Linked DNA regions of Neurospora crassa OR74A. The protein of the gene in region 2 purifies or fractionates together with the protein of the main gene of each other region. This does not show direct contact. Links are inferred from orthologs where the notes say so. Each region holds a gene or a part of one and is shown on either strand. Other genes may lie near its edges. The genes, in order: NCU03690 and NCU05803.

What was found.
Region 1: the proteins of NCU05803 (region 2) and NCU03690 purify together in Saccharomyces cerevisiae (affinity purification with mass spectrometry; 3 studies listed by BioGRID). This does not show direct contact. The link is inferred for Neurospora crassa OR74A from reciprocal best matches to the Saccharomyces cerevisiae genes GCN1 and KAP104.

Annotation. Positions count from the first base shown.
Region 1 is NC_026505.1:2,091,132-2,095,723, forward strand, and holds the start of NCU03690 (importin beta-2 subunit), read right to left. Parts: upstream 2,938-4,592; 5' UTR 2,366-2,937; coding exon 2,264-2,365; intron 2,174-2,263; coding exon 1-2,173. Other genes in the region: NCU03691 (hypothetical protein), read right to left, coding at 4,368-4,592. UniProt on the Saccharomyces cerevisiae protein: Functions in nuclear protein import as nuclear transport receptor. Serves as receptor for arginine/glycine-rich nuclear localization signals (rg-NLS) and PY-NLS in cargo substrates. Its predominant cargo substrate seems to be mRNA-binding proteins.
Region 2 is NC_026507.1:3,886,664-3,890,194, reverse strand, and holds the end of NCU05803 (translational activator GCN1), read right to left. Parts: coding exon 1,603-3,531; intron 1,506-1,602; coding exon 951-1,505; 3' UTR 761-950; downstream 1-760. UniProt on the Saccharomyces cerevisiae protein: Ribosome collision sensor that activates a translation quality control pathway when a ribosome has stalled during translation. Directly binds to the ribosome and acts as a sentinel for colliding ribosomes.

The DNA.
Region 1 (4,592 bases), on a different chromosome or scaffold from region 2:
CCAAGCGCTTGATAACGACCGGCATGATGTTGGGCAGGAATGGCTTGAGTTGTTCAAAGACGTACTTGGCACAATCGCCGAGAAGAGCGTATGCCGATTGCTGAACGGCATCGGATTGATCCCCCATGCACAGAGCCATCAGCTCAAAAAAGGTTGGCTGGACGTTGGCAACAAGCTTGGAAGCCTTGTCGTTGTCTAGGGCCTGGATGATGGCACTGAGAAGATCGAGGCTGGTGACCAGGAAATCCTCATCAGGTTGATCAAGATCGGTGTTGGTCTTGGCCTTCATGGCCTGCTCCAGGTTTTGATGAATAATTCGAATACACCTGCCGAAAATAGGCTCGGCGTAAGGGGTGAAGGCATCGCCAAGGGCCATAGCGACGTAGGAAAGGCACTCGAGCAAGGGAAAAAGCTCCCGGGACTCATCACCCACCTTCTGCCACCTATCCAGTAGGACTGGCATCAACTGGTTACTAAGCTCAGGCCTAGCCAGGACGGGGCCGATGTGCTCAGCCAGCGTCTGAACGCAGTCGTAGAGAACCCACATATTCTTATCCTTGTACTTGCCGAAGCACCGGATGTATTGCTGGATGATGGGTCCGCAGTAAGGCTCGAGCGCCTTGCCTGCCTTCTCTTCTAGGTTTGCCATGGCAGAGGCACCAGCCTCCTGAACGTTCTTGTTCTTGTCAAGCATCTTCTTGAGAATTCCGTCCATCATAGGCAGGAAGTATCTCTCCTTTTCTGCCTGATCCACAAGGCTAACCGCCCACGCAGAGTATCGACCAAGGGTCCAGCAGGTAATCTGGCGAACCACCGGCTCCTCGTCGTCGAGGAGACTAACAAGATAGGGCACCAATTCTGGAAGGTGGGGAACGACCACGTCCATGCAGCCCTCAGCAACAGCACCAAGGGCGAGAACAGCCGCTTCTCTGTAAGACCAATCCGCGTGCTTGAGGTTGCTCTGCAAATATGGTAGAATAGAAGTGAAGACTGGTCCGCCAAAGTCGCGAGCAAATACATCAAGTGCCGCCGCTGAGCACTTGCGGAGAGTCCACTTCTCATCGGGATTCTCATCTCCCTCGGACTCGCTGTCGTCAATTTCGCCATCTTCCAAATCATCGTCGTCTTCCTCCATGCTTGCAACCTTCTCGAACGCGTTTCCATTCTTCGCCATATCAGCCGCAGTGTTTCCGTTAGCAGCACGGGTCAGCTTCTTCTTGGCGAACTGTGGCTTGATATCCTCCTCCCGGTCTTCTTCATCCTCATCGTCCGAAGCACCTCCAAGTATAGCAATATCCTCGGGACTGTAGACCATGCACTCCAAAAGTACGGGGATGATGTCTGTGATGTACGGTTCCAGGGCCCGCCACAGGTTATCGTGCTCTCCAACAGTCAGCCAGAACTCGGCAGCCTCAGTGGCAAGATCCTCGTCGTCACCCTTTTGTTGAGCGATGATGTACTTGGCCAGGCCTTCGATATGGGGCAGAAGCTTGTCCGGACGGGTTTCCACCAGGTTCACAAAAGCACGGCAGACCTGTTTTCGGACATCGATTGAGGGATCTTCAGCCAGAGCAAAGAGGTGCTGTAGAAGGTCATCTATCGAGTTCAGCATGGCCTGCGACTTCCTAGGGGTGAACACATTGATGGCTGTGAGAGCATGGGCGCGAACTTTGGGAATTGCGCTCCTGGTTGCCTGAATAAGCTTTGGAAGGAGAAAGTTGATAGGTCTTTGGCCGTTGTGTTCCCTTTCTAGCATCTTCGCATTGTCTTCGCAGATCTTTGCCATGGCAGCCATAGCTCCCTCCTGCGCCTCGGGCGTTACCTGACCAGACTCATTGGTCAACATCTTGAGCAACTCGGGCAGAAACTCGGGCCAGCCGTAGATTCCTCCCTTGTTAATCAGCTCAGTCGCAAGAGTGCCTGCATGACTGCGGATCTGTGAGTTCTTGTCCTGGAGCCCCAAGGGGACAGCCAACTTGACAAGAGCCAAGCTCTGTTCTGGAATCTTGTTATAGTTGTTCTTGATGTTGTTCTTCAGCATCAGAGCGGCGGCACAGCGCACAACATGCCAGTCTGCAGCAGTCGCTGGAAACTCCTGGGGTGGTTCCGAGCTCGAGAAAATCAGGGCCAAGTAGTTGTTGATATCGGGCGAAGCTTTCGCTTGGTTAAGCATCTGGTTTATAAAGACAAGTCAGAATCTCTGTCTTGTGGCAATGCTCCATCAGACTGGGTAACTAGATGGTGCCGAGGGGCATTAACTCACGATTTCAGCCTGCTTCTGGGCGGCCTTGTTGAAGGCGCTCAGGGAATCCTTCAGACATTGTGCCAAAGTCTTCAGGTTCTCTCCACTCGGTTGCCAAGCCATGGTGATAATTGGGATTGAAGTGACACAGGCGCGTAACGTCGGCGATGTGTCGTGTGGTGGCGGCGGCGGCGGCGGCGGTTGGTGGGTTCTCGGACTTTGATATCTCGTAGCTGACGAGAACCAGAACGATGGTGTCGGGCCGATACCGGTGAACTGCTGAAGAGTCGAACGCAGAATTGGGAGGCCCAAAGAAAAAAAGAAAAAAAAATGGCCGACTCGAATGAACTCTCTGACAGTGCAAGTTCAGTTGTGAGAGAGGCGCCGGGTCACCACAGCGCGGCCTTCAAGGCGGAGGTACTCTTTAGGGTTCGTTTAGTTGAAGCTGGTCGTGGGTAGTCGCATCTGGCAGGCCGACGGGTAGCAAGAGCTGCAGACAAGAACCGGCAGTTTGTCCTCGGGAAGGAGGCAGGGTGTTGTTTCGTTGATGAAAGAGATCGATACCCAGAAGCAATTGCCAGTGGTTACCGGTAGGTCGACATCGATGGTGGTCGTGGGTGGGCGGCGGGCAAGGCTCGAGCAGGGCAATGTTTAATGTGGGGTGCAAAGTGGGCCTTGGCTGGCCTCTATTTTTTGCTGTGCCGTCAAGTGCAAGTGGTCGAGGGGAAGGGAACGGAAACTTGTTGAAGACAAGTGGAGGTGCCGCCCCTGCCCTGCACACCTGCACTGGCACTTGTGCGATGCCAAGCCTGCTCGCCTACCTAGGAGATGCGGGCCTGTCAAGAAATGTGGCAGGTGTGGTCAGTGGTCTTCAGGTGCTAGCTCTGCGTGGGCGGTTGTAGCTTCGTTCTGTCCAAGAGCGGGGCCGGGGCAACCTCCCATGGACGCTTGATGAGGTCGTCGTCTCTCTCTCCCGCTCTGTACCTCTCATGTATGGCGGCCACCCGCCCGCTTGATGGTTGCACAAAACCCCTTCTGATAATGCTAAGCTTCCTGCTACCTACGTATGCACGTACGCGCCTTGAAGTGGATGGCACCGTTACAGCAGCAACTCATTAATGCCCGAAGGAAATCGAACAGCAAATGGCACCGGGGTCATTCATTCAAGAGGAGTCATCGGCAGAGCTTCTGGCGTCGCAGTCAATGAGACGCCCGGCCCTTTGAACCTCGACCAAGGGCCTGGCCGAGACTTTGATACTTTTGGGTTCGTCCCATTTCCCAGCTTGTGAACCACCCTACCTATCGGGTCATATTTGGTTGAAGAAAAGCTAGGTTTTTTATGCGTTGTAAGGATGGGATGGCAGTAAGGGTAAGGTATCCTCTCTCGCATGTGGCCTCTATTTTAGTTTAAAAGCCTGCTTGGTGGGAACTGAGTTTCTAGACCGCTTTCTATGATTTGGGAATTGGATGGCGAGTTTTCCTCGTCACCTCTTTCTCTCCTTCTTGCTGTACAGACCGGATGATGTCCATCCAGCACAGGCGGGATACCAGTCGTCCTTTTCAGACCTACCAGACACATGGAACTTGGATGTCGCCAGAAGGTCCACGACAGTGTTGCTGTGTAACAGACGACTGAGATCTGCCAAACCTGCCAGGTCAGCTTTGTGAGCCGATCTATCCCGCGGCCATGTTGATGTGCCAAATATGAAACTGCAGATAACACCCTTTGCCTCATCATAACCAGGGCTTTGGGGTTCAGAACATTTCCGTCAATTCTCTGAAGGTTAATCGCCTTCGGCCATGCCCCGTCGGGATATGGTGCCAATCCATATTGCTACCAATACCCGACATGTATCAAGCAGGTAACCGAACACGAGTGACAGTTCCATGGCCTTCTTGGGTCATGGATTCGTGGGAAACGACACGCCTTTGTGGCACGTTCAAAAAAAGGTGAGTAGGTTAGGCAAGCTCAAACTAAGCGTTTGCGGAAATTCGTTGAGAAGGGAACTGCCGGAATCCCCTTGGCCAAAAGGCCGAGGTGTTTGTGTGCAACAACTTGTGCCCATCAACAGTAGCAAAAAGAAAAATTGTAGTTGGGAAGGGTTCTTTTGTCAACGTTCGAGGCTCAGGACTGGACTCCATTGGGCGTCGCGTTGGCAAACTCAAGTTTGGATAGGACAAGCTCGGCTACCTGTTTGAAAGCTTCCATCTCCTCTTCAACAGTCCCGCCAAGGCCGGCACTGGCAAAGCTCACCGAGTTGCCCACATAGGTAGGCAGTTGCGTCCTCCTTGTGATCAGCTTTGCCAGTCGGGTGGTAAACTCCAACGTCGGCTCAACCGTACAAAGAGG
Region 2 (3,531 bases):
TAAGAAACTCTCGAGACTCAAGAGAGAGACACGAGTAAGTAATGATCTACCATACTGCATACCTACTATCCAGTAGAGAAGTTTGTATTATTGTAACGACAACTGTAGAGGTACGTGGGTAGGTAGGTACCTAAGCATGGAGCAACAAACGGACTTGATAGATAAGAGGAAGAAAGCGAGGTACTGTGCTGAATGAATACAAAAGCAATGATGGAATTGACGATGCGAATGAATGGAAATATCCTAGAAAGAGAAAAAAGAAAAAAAAAAAAAAAAAAAAAAAAAACGTCGACGTGATTCTGATGTCTGTCTGCTTGATGATGTTCATGCCCCTTGGGATGCCTTATTATACTGCATACTGCGTAGTAAAGGCGATTTTTGGCCTCGTTCATCGTTAGCGCCATTCGTGAGTACCTACCTACCTACCTACTGTATATACCTACACCTACAAGTACATCAGCTAACCACATGTATCAACATCAACCACACAACACCACACCATCCAAATCATCACATATTCATTCGACAAATGTAAAGCACACAAGGTAATGTACATATCTACCTGAGCTTCAGCTAGCGATTCTTTTGTTCAACTGCATGCTGTATGCTTGACGCTGATCATCAGACCGCACGACCGACCGTCCGCCATTTCGCATTTCGCTTCACTCAGGGGCATTGGCATCCCCCACCGCCTTCTCCTGAACAAGATCATCCAACCAACCAAACACCTTGCAGGCATCATCATCATCATCAACCGAAATATACGCTACAAGACATAACATTACTTTTCATACCGCTTATTTCACAACAGTTCTATCTAATGTACAGCACAGAGATATAAAGAAAACATCTTTTACCCAACCGGCGGTCTTTTCGCTTTCCTTTTTCCTCCTTCATGTCTTTTCCCTTCCGCTTTTTTTTTCCTGCTTCATCTTCTTCTTCTCCCCCAACTAATCAAACATCTCCCCCCCACCCGCGACATCCACCCGTCCAACACTCATCAACTCCTTCTCATCCTCCACCTCATCATTGCTCAATCCCAATCCACCCGTTCCACCCTCGGCCTCTCTACGCTCGCGCACCTGCGCACCCAAACGAAGTGCCACGCGCTTAAAGTAATCCTGCATGCTCCTCTTGACATTCGGCGCCATATTTCCTTCTTGCGATTCCAAGTACTTTTCAAACACCTTGCTTTCCTCATCGGCCACCGCGAAAAGCTGGACGAAAGCGGCTTCGGCGGCCAACTTGACGGGGATGACCATGTCGCGCACTGAGGCGAAGACGGGCGGGGCGAGTAGAGCCAGATGGGGACGGACGAGGTCGGGGTTGGTGCGCGCTAGAGTACGAACAAGCACGAGGGCGAGACGGCGCGAGTCGGTCGGTTGGCCCGGTGGAAGGAGGGTGGAGATGGTGCTGAAGAGGGGTTTGGTTGCTTCGAAGGATTTGGGCACGGGGGAGAGGAGGTATTTGCCCGTGGCGAGGATGAAGTTCTCGGTGATGAAGGTCTGGGGATGAGTTAGTTAGGGTCCTTGCTTACATGGGGAGAGAGATGGAAGGGGAGGTGAAAAAGGCTGCTGTGGGGAAGGGAAAGGAAAGACTCACGTTCTTGCTTGCCATGCCCTGGCACAAAAGCTCAGGCAAGTCATCCACCAACGAAGACTCCAAGAGGGTCTCAGGGCTCTCCAGCAGGACGGCGTTCAAAGCCAGAACACTCGAGTTGCTAAAGTCCCTGGTCAGGACTCTGTTCTTGAGAAGCTGGGCAGCCACCTCGTCCGAGACGTTCTTGACAAGGGCACCGAACAACTTGGCGTAGGTGATGGTCATGGTGTCGTCGCGCTCGTCCGCCTCGGTATCAATAAGACCGAGGACGGCGGTGCGAGAGCCCTCGCCCATGTTGGCGCCGGCCTTGCTGATGACCTCGTACAGGGCCTTGAGCATGGCCGTCTTGACGCCGGCGTCGGAAGTCTTGGAGCCCGTCACCAGCTCGGCGATCAAAGGATCCACGCGGGGAGTAAACTTGATAAGAGTACCCAAAGCCTTGGCGGCACGACTGCGGAGCACGTCGCTGGATGTGTCTGCGAGCGACTTGGCAAAAGTGCGCTGCAGCTGCGGCAGGAAGGGCTTGAGCGCCGTAGGCATCTTCTCAAGCAAGTTGTTAAGGGTAAGCAGAATGGCGGACTTGACCTCGGTAGAACGTTCGGAAACGACACGAATGAGCGGACCGGTAATCTGCGTGACAAACGGCTTGAGCGAGGCCTCGCTGGTCCTGTCGACAATGTCCGAGATGGCAAGGGCCGAAGCCACTCTCTGATCTGCCGAGCCGTTCATAAGACCCTGCAGGAAAATCGGGAGAATGGCGTTGATACCCTTGGGCAGCTCGAAGCCGCGCAGGTTGACGCCGGCAACGCCAACCTGGAGGAGGGTCTGGCGAGTAGAGATGACCAAGTTCTCCATGTCTTCCTTCCTAAGCTTCTTGGTGAACTCGCTAAGCGCGCTCCAGGCAGACTTGACCACGTCCATGTCCCTATCATCGAACGAGAGCAGGAGAGAGCGGATGATATCCTGGTTGTAGCGCGAGTAGTCCACATCGGCCGAAGCAAAGAACTTGGACAGGTGGAACGCGGTAGACGCTCTTCTGCGGTGATCGTCGTGCTTGAGAAGCTGCAGCAAGGTCTGCATAACCATGTTGAGACCGTCGTACTCGTCGATGGACAGGATGACAGTGTCGAACGACTCGTCAAGCTCCTCGCGGAGAGTATCGTCAGTGCAGTTGATAATGTTATCCATAAGCGAGTTGATGATGCTGGGCAGACGACGGTTCATAGCCGCGCCGGCAACCTTGGACAACGAAGCCAACGCCTTGGCGTTGAAGGAAGAAATAGGAGGCTTGATAAGGCTGGGGATGAGGTTGGGCAGTATCATGTTGGAGCGAGTAGTCTCGGTGAGCAAGGTGAGCAGAGCCGCAAGAGCATTCTCAGCCTCCTCCTCATTAGCGAGAAGGGTGAGAAGGAAGGGCATAACCTCTTCGACAGCACGCTTGCCGAGAATCTGCTGCAAGGAATCGAAGGCCTCGGCGGCGGCTTCTCTGACATCTTCGTCGCGGTCGGTAAGCGCGGTACGCACAACCGAGATGAGCGTCTTCTCGTGATCCTCGAGGGCCTCGGGAGAGGCAGAAGCGATGAGCTCCTTGAGGGCAAGGCAAATACCCTGTCTGGCATCGACATCGCTCGAGGTCTGGAGACCTTCCTCGAGAGTGGGCAAGAGTGTCGCCAGAACGCCGTCGCCAGCCTTCCTTATCAGCTCGCCCAAAGCATTGCTGGCAATGATCTTGTGCTCCATGTTAGAGCTGCCGAGACGGCGGATAATGAGCTGAGTGAGAGTGGGCACAAGCTCCTTAAGAATGCGAGGACTGTGGACAAGAGCCTTCCACACGCTGACAGCAGCGGAGCGGACGGCACCCGAGGTATCGCAACGGCAGATGTAGAGCGAGGACAGGACCTTGTTGCGCTTTTCCTCTCCGAGAATCTCACG